2 linked regions of the Daphnia pulex genome follow. The protein of the gene in region 1 purifies or fractionates together with the protein of each later gene. This does not show direct contact. Links are inferred from orthologs where the notes say so. Each region holds a gene or a part of one and is shown in the gene's direction. Other genes may lie near its edges. The genes, in order: DNA replication licensing factor mcm7-like and cell division control protein 45 homolog.

What was found.
Region 2: the proteins of DNA replication licensing factor mcm7-like (region 1) and cell division control protein 45 homolog purify together in Drosophila melanogaster (affinity purification with western blotting; 3 studies listed by BioGRID, with this or other methods). This does not show direct contact. The link is inferred for Daphnia pulex from reciprocal best matches to the Drosophila melanogaster genes Mcm7 and Cdc45.

Annotation. Positions count from the first base shown.
Region 1 is NC_060025.1:5,067,195-5,071,710, reverse strand, and holds the start of DNA replication licensing factor mcm7-like, read left to right. Parts: upstream 1-1,554; 5' UTR 1,555-1,670; coding exon 1,671-1,707; intron 1,708-1,763; coding exon 1,764-1,864; intron 1,865-1,920; coding exon 1,921-2,180; intron 2,181-2,243; coding exon 2,244-2,314; intron 2,315-2,381; coding exon 2,382-2,491; intron 2,492-2,556; coding exon 2,557-2,694; intron 2,695-2,761; coding exon 2,762-2,944; intron 2,945-3,005; coding exon 3,006-3,226; intron 3,227-3,342; coding exon 3,343-3,419; intron 3,420-3,482; coding exon 3,483-3,694; intron 3,695-3,757; coding exon 3,758-4,172; intron 4,173-4,234; coding exon 4,235-4,335; intron 4,336-4,399; coding exon 4,400-4,509; intron 4,510-4,516. Other genes in the region: single-stranded DNA-binding protein, mitochondrial-like, read right to left, coding at 1-171, 227-346, 409-580.
Region 2 is NC_060026.1:14,327,490-14,331,903, reverse strand, and holds cell division control protein 45 homolog, read left to right. Parts: upstream 1-1,297; 5' UTR 1,298-1,384; coding exon 1,385-1,435; intron 1,436-1,512; coding exon 1,513-1,665; intron 1,666-1,730; coding exon 1,731-1,868; exon of another isoform or gene 1,869-1,928; coding exon 1,929-2,018; exon of another isoform or gene 2,019-2,077; coding exon 2,078-2,272; intron 2,273-2,315; exon of another isoform or gene 2,316-2,335; coding exon 2,336-2,397; exon of another isoform or gene 2,398-2,456; coding exon 2,457-2,630; intron 2,631-2,691; coding exon 2,692-2,823; intron 2,824-2,887; coding exon 2,888-3,148; intron 3,149-3,222; coding exon 3,223-3,361; intron 3,362-3,427; coding exon 3,428-3,633; intron 3,634-3,697; coding exon 3,698-3,774; intron 3,775-3,840; coding exon 3,841-3,905; 3' UTR 3,906-4,134; downstream 4,135-4,414. Other genes in the region: NAD-dependent protein deacylase, read left to right, coding at 7-221, 281-423, 496-646, 716-770.

The DNA of each region.
Region 1 (4,516 bases):
CAATTGAACATGTGTGCCTTAAATTACCCTCAGGTTCTTTTACTTCTCCATAGATGATTCTTCCTTGAACAAAAACTCTTTGTCCTTTATTAGTGTACTTTAATATCGAGTCTCTCAGGTAAGGTTTAAACACACAAATTCTGTGCCACTCAGTCTTCTGGTTGACATCTCCTTTAGGAAAACAAATCAGTTTAAAATATTTTGAATTAAATTTCAATTAACAAACCATTGGGATAACTATAGTTTGAGTTTGTAGCCAAAGAAAATGTAACAACTGGATGTTCCAAAGAACCACGTTTAACAGGATTTGAGCCAACTCTACCCAACAGAGTCACCGAATTAATAGCTACATAAAAGAACATTAGAACCTAAATACTATATAAATGAATGTAATCTTTTAAAACTAACTTTTTTCCACACCAACTGTAAGAGGGGTAGTTTCGCCAGTGTTGTTGTTTGTAAGGTGAGTTCTCCATTCATCAGAATCAACTTGTTTGCGACATGACAAATATATTTGTCGACTCAACGCAAATCTAGACATATTTGAAATGAAACGACTTCCTGATTTCAACGTTAACATTTCTTTTCTTTCTTATTTATCTGGAGAGACGAAGAGAAAAACTGTATTTTATTTTTTTAAGATTACACTTGTGTTAAAAAAAATTTCTGGATTTTGAGGAGTTTGTTAATTATTACCAATAACAATGTTGCCACATAAAACAATCATTCCATACCAGATCCATAAAAATCAAAAAAAAATTTCTAAATTAATAATCTATATCTTTTTTATGAGTTTGAAGATAGCTATGATTGATAATGATAAAACGAGTTCTCATTACCGCAGTCATTGTATTTATCGATAAAAATTGAAAATGTGCCCTTATTAACCAGGAGTATGGAGAAATGGTTGCCACTTGCCAATGATCATGTTAAATTTCCTATAAGGGGATTCGACGGGAAGCTACTTTTTTACTAGCGATTTTGTATGGAGGTCGAGTTGAATCAACGCCATCTAAGACGTTGCGACATATATACAGTCAACTCGACCTTTGAAATGGCCCCTTTGAATGTCCATATGTCGCAACAGCCTAGATGGCGTTGATTCAAAGAGGCCACCGTATCATGTCCATACAAATGTCGCTAGTAAAAAAGTAGCTTCCCGTTGAATCTCCTTATGGGAAATTTAACATGGTCATTGGCAACATCTCTCCATACTCCTGTCCATACCCATGCCTTAACCTGATTTAATACCCAGGACATAACGTGACCTGGGTTATTTTACATGATGCAAGCCTCAAGCCAGTCAAGCGGGACGGTAAATTTTTTTTAAACGCCGATCAGGCTCCAACCCCATTAAGGAAAACAACCGCTTAATAATTTGACTGATATAAGAAGAAATCCGTCCCAAAAGGTCCGGGCCACAGCGCCAATGGGATCGGGATTCGGGATACACTCTGGGGATACATAAAAAAAAAAAAAAATGAAAGCGAAGAACTACATAAATATGGCAGCAGAGCGCTGTTTGTTAGGGCTCCGTTTCGCGCCCATTTCTGCGCAGAACAATAAACCAAGTAACTTGTCAAACAGTGTTAAGCACACAGCACAGGGAGTCAGTTATTAACATAAACCGATTCTGTTAGGCAGTTATCCATCTACGATTTCCTTTTAACATGGCTCTGAATCCGGTAGATTATAACGCGCAAAAGGGTAAATTAATATCTTATTTCATTTCTATATTGGAATTATTTTTTTTTTTGTTTTAGAAAAAATTAAAACGTTTTTCGCCGAATTTCACAAAGTGGGAAAAAACGGTAAAGACTTCAAATATGCCACTCAGTTAACTAGAATTGCTCACCGTGAGCAGGTAAAGTAAAAATACATTCGCAATCGTAAATTTATTTTAAAACAAGATTGTTGTAGGTTGAACTAGTGATTGATTTGGAAGATGTTGCTGAGTTTGATGATGAATTAGCAGAACAGATAGTTGACAATGGTAGACGATACACTTTGCTGTTTGGGGAAGTTGTTCAAGAAATGCTACCCAACTATAAAGAGCATGATGTTGAAGCAAAGGATGCCCTTGATGTCTACATTAATCATCGCCTGATAGTTGAAAATCAGCACCAAAATGATGAACCAAATAGACTGCACAAGTATCCTCCAGAATTGATGCGCAGATTGTAATCTACACTAATATTTTCTTGAAATAATTAATGTCTTCTGAAGCAATCATTTTTTTTTAGTGAGGTTTATTTTAAATCTCCTTCTTTGCAGAAGGCTATACCCATTAGAGAAGTAAAAGCTGTTCATATAGGTAGGCAATTTATTATTCAGCTTAGTGATAGGCTTCTAAAAAAGTTTTCTGTACACATTCATTCTAGGTAAACTAGTGACAGTTCGTGGCATAGTAACACGTTGCACTGAAGTGAAACCAATGATGCAGGTAGCAACATATACATGTGACCAGTGTGGTGCTGAAACTTATCAACCTGTAATTTCAAAGAAGCTTACACTGATGTTATTTTCCTCTAATTCTAAATATGGTATTTTCTCTAGATTAATTCAACATCTTTTATGCCGCTGTTGATGTGTCCCACTGATGATTGCAAAGTGAATAAGAGTGGTGGTCGCTTGTATCTTCAAACTCGTGGCTCTAAATTTGTCAAGTTTCAAGAACTGAAGATACAGGAACATGTAATCTGATATTTAAAAAAAAACTTAAACTTTTACTCATAATGTAACCATTTTGTTTTGTCAAAAGAGTGATCAAGTGCCGGTTGGCCACGTACCGCGGTGCTTGACCGTCTATTGTCGGGGCGAAACAACGCGTTTGTCTCAACCTGGAGATCATGTCAGCATTACAGGCATTTTCCTTCCTATGTTGCGAGCAGGTTTTCGTCAACAAATGCAAGGACTTCTTTCCGAAGCTTATGTCGAAGCACATGTAAATATGTTAGAACTCCATTCTGAATAGTGTTCATTAGCTCTTAACTGTTTGCTGACAGAGAGTAGTTAGGTTAAACAAAACCGAAGATGACGAAATGAGCATGGAAACTCTGACAGAAGAAGAACTGCGTCAAATCGGCGAAGAAGACTTTTACGAGAAGCTTGCTACAAGCATCGCACCAGAGATTTACGGACACGAAGACGTTAAGAAAGCGCTGTTGTTGTTGCTTGTTGGTGGAATTGATCGAAAACCCAATGGCATGAAAATTCGTGGAACGATGTAAGGCTAGTTTCTTTTTATATAAATGCATGTTTTCTAAAAAAAATCATGGAATCATAACAGAATAGGAATAGTATTAAATTAATCTAATTATTTTTATTTATCTTACGTCACAGCAATATTTGTCTAATGGGAGATCCTGGTGTTGCAAAGTCACAGCTACTGAAGTTCATCGATCGTCTAGCCCCAAGAAGTATTTTAAATAGCCCAAAATGTACGTTTGAAAACAATAATAATAATTTAAAAAAAAAAATAGGTCAGTATACCACAGGACGTGGATCTTCTGGTGTCGGTTTGACTGCTGCCGTGCTGAAAGATCCAGTTACGGGTGAAATGACCCTAGAAGGAGGAGCGCTTGTGTTGGCTGATCAGGGTGTCTGTTGCATTGATGAGTTTGACAAAATGCCTGAGTCTGATCGTACGGCTATCCACGAAGTCATGGAACAACAAACTATTTCAATAGCCAAAGTAAATTCATCAAAACACTAATTTAAAATTAAGTTTTTATTTAACTTACCATTAATATTTCAGGCAGGAATCATGACTACACTTAATGCCCGTGTTTCCATACTAGCAGCTGCCAATCCCGCTTATGGTCGATATAACCCAAAAAAATCTGTTGAACATAATATTCAATTACCAGCAGCCCTTCTTTCGCGTTTTGACGTTTTATGGTTGATTCAAGATCGCTCAGACAGAGAGAATGACTTAAGGTGTAACTTTGGTTGTCTTAATTCCTTATTGAGTTTGATCTGTTACTTATTTGCCTTCTTACCCATTGAATCATTTGGCAGACTGGCACGACATATTACGTATGTTCATCAGCACTACTGTCAACCTCCTACACGCGTGCAGCCGCTTGATATGAAACTAATGAGACGGTATATTGCTCTCTGTCGTCAAAAACAGCCTTCTGTCCCAGAACATTTGACCGACTACATCGTCAGTATGGACACATCAGATTTTCCTATTAATACTAGTTGAATAATTAAAAATATTTTATAATAGGCGCTTATGTTGAAATGCGTAAAGAAGCAAGAAATAACAAAGACATGACATTCACCTCGGCCCGTAATTTATTGGGTATTCTGCGTTTATCAACAGCATTGGTAATTATACTTATGTTATTTACGCCATATTTCACACTAAGTTGTCTAATTTAACGTGTTTTAGGCACGTCTTAGGTTGGCTGAGGAAGTGGAAAAAGAAGATGTTAGAGAAGCAATGCGTCTCATGGAAATGTCCAAGGATTCTTTGAATCATCACGATCAGCGCCCAATAAGGTATCTC
Region 2 (4,414 bases), on another chromosome or scaffold:
TTTCAGGCACACAATGCAATTGCAGAGTTCCAACATAGAATGACTAAAGAAGGAAGGCACGTCAGTGTGATCACCCAAAATATTGATGAACTTCATCAAAGGGCTGGTTCAGTCAATGTCTTAGAACTGCATGGCAGTCTGTTCAAGACTCGGTGTCTGAAATGTAAAAAGATAGAACCCAATCATGACAGTCCCATTTGTGAAGCTCTTAGGGGAAAGGGGTAAGATTTTCCTTTTTTACTTATTTCAAATAAAAATCTAATTGTCTTACCCTTATTAGATCACCATCCCCAAATGAGGTTGGAGAATTGGTTCCAGAATCATTGTTGCCCAGATGCAAAGTTTCTTCCTGTGGAGGCCTTCTAAGGCCCCATGTTGTATGGTTCCATGAAAATCTGGATTCTGCCGTTCTCAAAAAAGCTGGTAATTAGTACAATTTTTTCTTCGATGTCAATTTTTTATGTGTCCTATTTACGTGTTTATTTTATTATCTAGATGAGGAACTTAATAGTTGCGATCTGTGTTTGGTCGTTGGAACATCATCAGTTGTCTATCCAGCAGCAATGTTTGCTCCCCAGGTTGCTGAAAGAGGGGTTCCCGTCGCGGAATTCAATATGGAAACTACTCCTGCTACTCATCACTTTGGGTATGAAACACCTAAACATTTGCATGTCGTAAAGTTCTTTTCATAACACGTTATTGACGTTTCTGGCAGATTTCATTTTTCGGGTCCTTGTGGGGAACTTTTACCTAAAGCGCTGGCACCTTGACGATCGTGCGCCCAACTGTTGAATTGCTACAGACACTACGGTTTATAAAGACCTACAGCTGATAAATTAACATGCTTGTGCATTTAAAGTCGTATTGTTTTTATTATTTGTAAAAAACTACATATGCGTATACAAAACTTTACTAGAATCCGTACGTGAAATATTTTAAAATATGCGAATATTTGATTACCCCAATAGTTGAATCTTTAACAGTTGCATCAGCTTTATCCACGATAATGATTGATTAAAATTAGATTTTTACATAAAGACGATTTATTCTAACAGAGAAAAATATCTACAAAATAAGTTGAAAACTTTTGGTTGGTCATTTGAATTTCGGATGCTAATTGTCAACGAAAACTTAAGTAAGCGTTAAAAAGAAGGGAAATAAAAAAATTAAATTTTTCATATTTTGTGTGTGGAATTCTTTGTTTGTAAATATAAAAATATCACGTGTGCTTAAAAAACGAACGAAAAAACAAAATCAATTCCTTTGTCTGTGTTAAAGGGACACCAGAAGAGGCTTCGATTTTGTTGTTAGTTTCGCGCCATTTCACGTACCGAATGAAAAGAAGAGTGAGGGATCAGGGAAAGGGTATTGTGAATGGCTAACAATGTTTCTCAGTGACCTCAAACGCGAGTTTTACGATGTTATATTGGGAAAAGTAATAATGAACGACTGATTTACCGATATTTTGTGTGTGATATAAAGTAATGTCTTTCTCATATTTTCTTTGTACAGCGTGTCTTGATATTTGTGAATTTCGACGTGGATGCCATAGCTTCATGTCGAATTCTGCAGTACCTGTTACTTTGTGATTCAATCAGCTATTCTATAGTCCCTGTGCAGAGCCAAAATGATCTCATTTCAGCCTACAAAGAGAGCTGTGAACAGGTGAAAATGCATTCGTAATAATATATATAGTGTTGAAGAAGTGAGTGTCAATATAATTTCTACAGTCGAACCACATTATTCTGATAAACTGTGGAGGAACTTTGGACATTGTAGAAACATTAGAACCATCAGAGGAAAAAATCTTCTATATTGCAGACTCACATCGGCCATATGATGTTTGTAACATCTACAACGATGGACAGGTAAATATCACTGTTTACTTTTTATAGCGAAAACTTTGTTGATTGTGTGCCATTGTTTAGGTTTGTATACTGGGAAAGGTAAATGAGAAAGAAGATATACCAACATATGAAGATATCTTTGGGAATGATGATGACGATGATGATGATGAGGTAGTTAATTAATTGGCATATGTTTAAATTTGAAACTGATAAATTTTTAAAATAATTAGGGCAGCAATCCTTCAGATGGAGAAGCAAATGGTGATGGTGATGATGATGAAGAAGAAGTTCGTGAATCTAAATCCAAACGTCAGAAATTGGATCCTGCTGAAATGGTTATGCGTCGTAGAGAAAAAAGGCTATGGCATGAGAAAAGAAAGGAGATTTTGTTTAACTATATGCAATTTTCTTTTTATTCATCGTCGGTAAGTTTAATTCAAAATCAAAACTGTATTCAACTTTTATTACCATTCATTTTCGTCGTTTAGACTGCTCTTCTTATGTTTGAACTTGCCTGGAAATTATCTAGAGACAGCAATGACTTGTTGTGGTAATAATTCTTTAAATTTTTAGCTGAGTAAGAATGTACATGGTTCATTGGTATTGCAGGTGGGCTATTATTGGTGTGAACGAACAGCAGCTTCTGGGTAAAGTCGAATCAAAAACCTCGGTTCTTGATAATGGCAAATTGCAAAGTCACATGATTCGATTGGCCCATTTATCGCAACACGGTGGAGAATCGACAGGAACCAAAGACGCACTATATATAACCCACGAAAAAGAGTAACATAATATTTTTGCTATTTAATTTACAGTAATTTAAATTAACTTTTTGTTTAAACAGTTTAAATTTGTCAATGTACCGACACTGGAGTTTATTGGAAAGCTTAAAATACTCTCCTCAAACAGCCAGTCATTTTCAACTTTGGACACTGAAAGGAGAGAAAAAACTCAACGAGTTTCTAGCTGAATTGGGGTAATTTCAGAATCCAAATATATTTTACTACTATTATTGCAATGTCTTTTATTATTGCTCACAGGCTTCCACTGTCTCAGTGTCGCCAAAAATTTAACTCTATGGATATCGAGCTTCGAAATGATTTGCGTGCCATTTTCCAGAAAAAAGTGGAAAAATACGACTTGGAAGACCTCGTTGAATACAGTTTTAATTCTCAGTATGGATTCCGGCCAAAGAATTCCGCCAGTGACTATGTCTACGCTCTTATAGCGTTGCTTGATTCGGCCGAAAAGGATAAAGATCCAGCCGATGCATTTCACGACGCACTGGAATGTCTTTCAAAGTATGCTTCTTAACCTCAAGTCATCTTCATAGAAAGAATCGTGATTGAGACATTGTTCCTTTCATATCTTTTAGCTCGAAAATGGATGCTGTTTATAAAGGAATCGAACTGGCCAAGCTTCAGCAAATGGCGATCGGAAAAGAAGTGCACACCTGTCTGGATATGGGTCACGTGATCAGCGCAGGACCTTGTTTGTACGCAGTTATCCAAGACGTAATAATAATGAATCGTATTCATCCCTGACACGAATAGCATCTAAACAACTTGTGCAACATACAGGGGACACCAGACGCCAAGTACTATGGTTATCCGCACAGTTTGCTCATGCTGGGACAGTTTCTTCTCAAAGCCCACATCTCGCGAGCACGAGGTCGTGGATTGAGAGCGAGAGAGCTTCCACTCATCATTTCAGCCCCATCGGCGTCTCGACCATCTCATTGCCTTTTATTGGGTTTGCCTCCTTTATCATTGGATTCCCCTAAAAAGTAAGTGCCTCATCTCCTAGAATTCCATTTACCGTTTCTTAACCGTTTGCAACGATTGTCACAGCTTGATTGGAAAAGCCTTTGAGCAAGCAGCTGAAAATACCCAAACAGAAATCACATCTGTATTTTTTGACTCCTCCGGTATGAGATTTGTGTTGCTGTAGGTAGCGATTTATTTACTAATTCGTTTTTCTCTTGAATGCGCAGTGATCGAGATCAACTCGGAATGCCGAACCAATTTCTTGGATTCGCTCTTTTCACTCCTAGAGTAACACAAATTTACCGAACCCGAACGGTCAAAATGGGATTAGTGATTCACATCAAACGAGTATCTTTTTTCTTCTTATTCTTATTTAAGGCTGTACTCCCTCTAGAGAATTTTCTCCCCCTTTTTTTTTTAAACATGCCATACTTGATTTTAAAACAGTGTGTAGAATTTCGTTGGCGATTTCCCGTGCAAATTATATATTATCGCCGATTATACATCCTTTATTGCAATAACTTTTTATCTACTTTACCTTTTGAAAAGGCAGCCAGTCTTAAGTAAGTTAAGTATCTCACGGCAAACAATTGGATGCGCTTGATTCCCGACATGTGTTATGGCTTCCGCGCATCCATTCTGTTTCATTCACGGTTGACAGCAATTTATTTGTTTCCATGTCGCAATTCAATAGGGATGCGCTTGGAAGATCTTACAGTTGCCTTCATTATTCGGGAGATTCTTTTTCTCGGGTGGTTTGATTTGTGGTTCAAGTTAATTGTGCCATTTATTGCCGAGCCC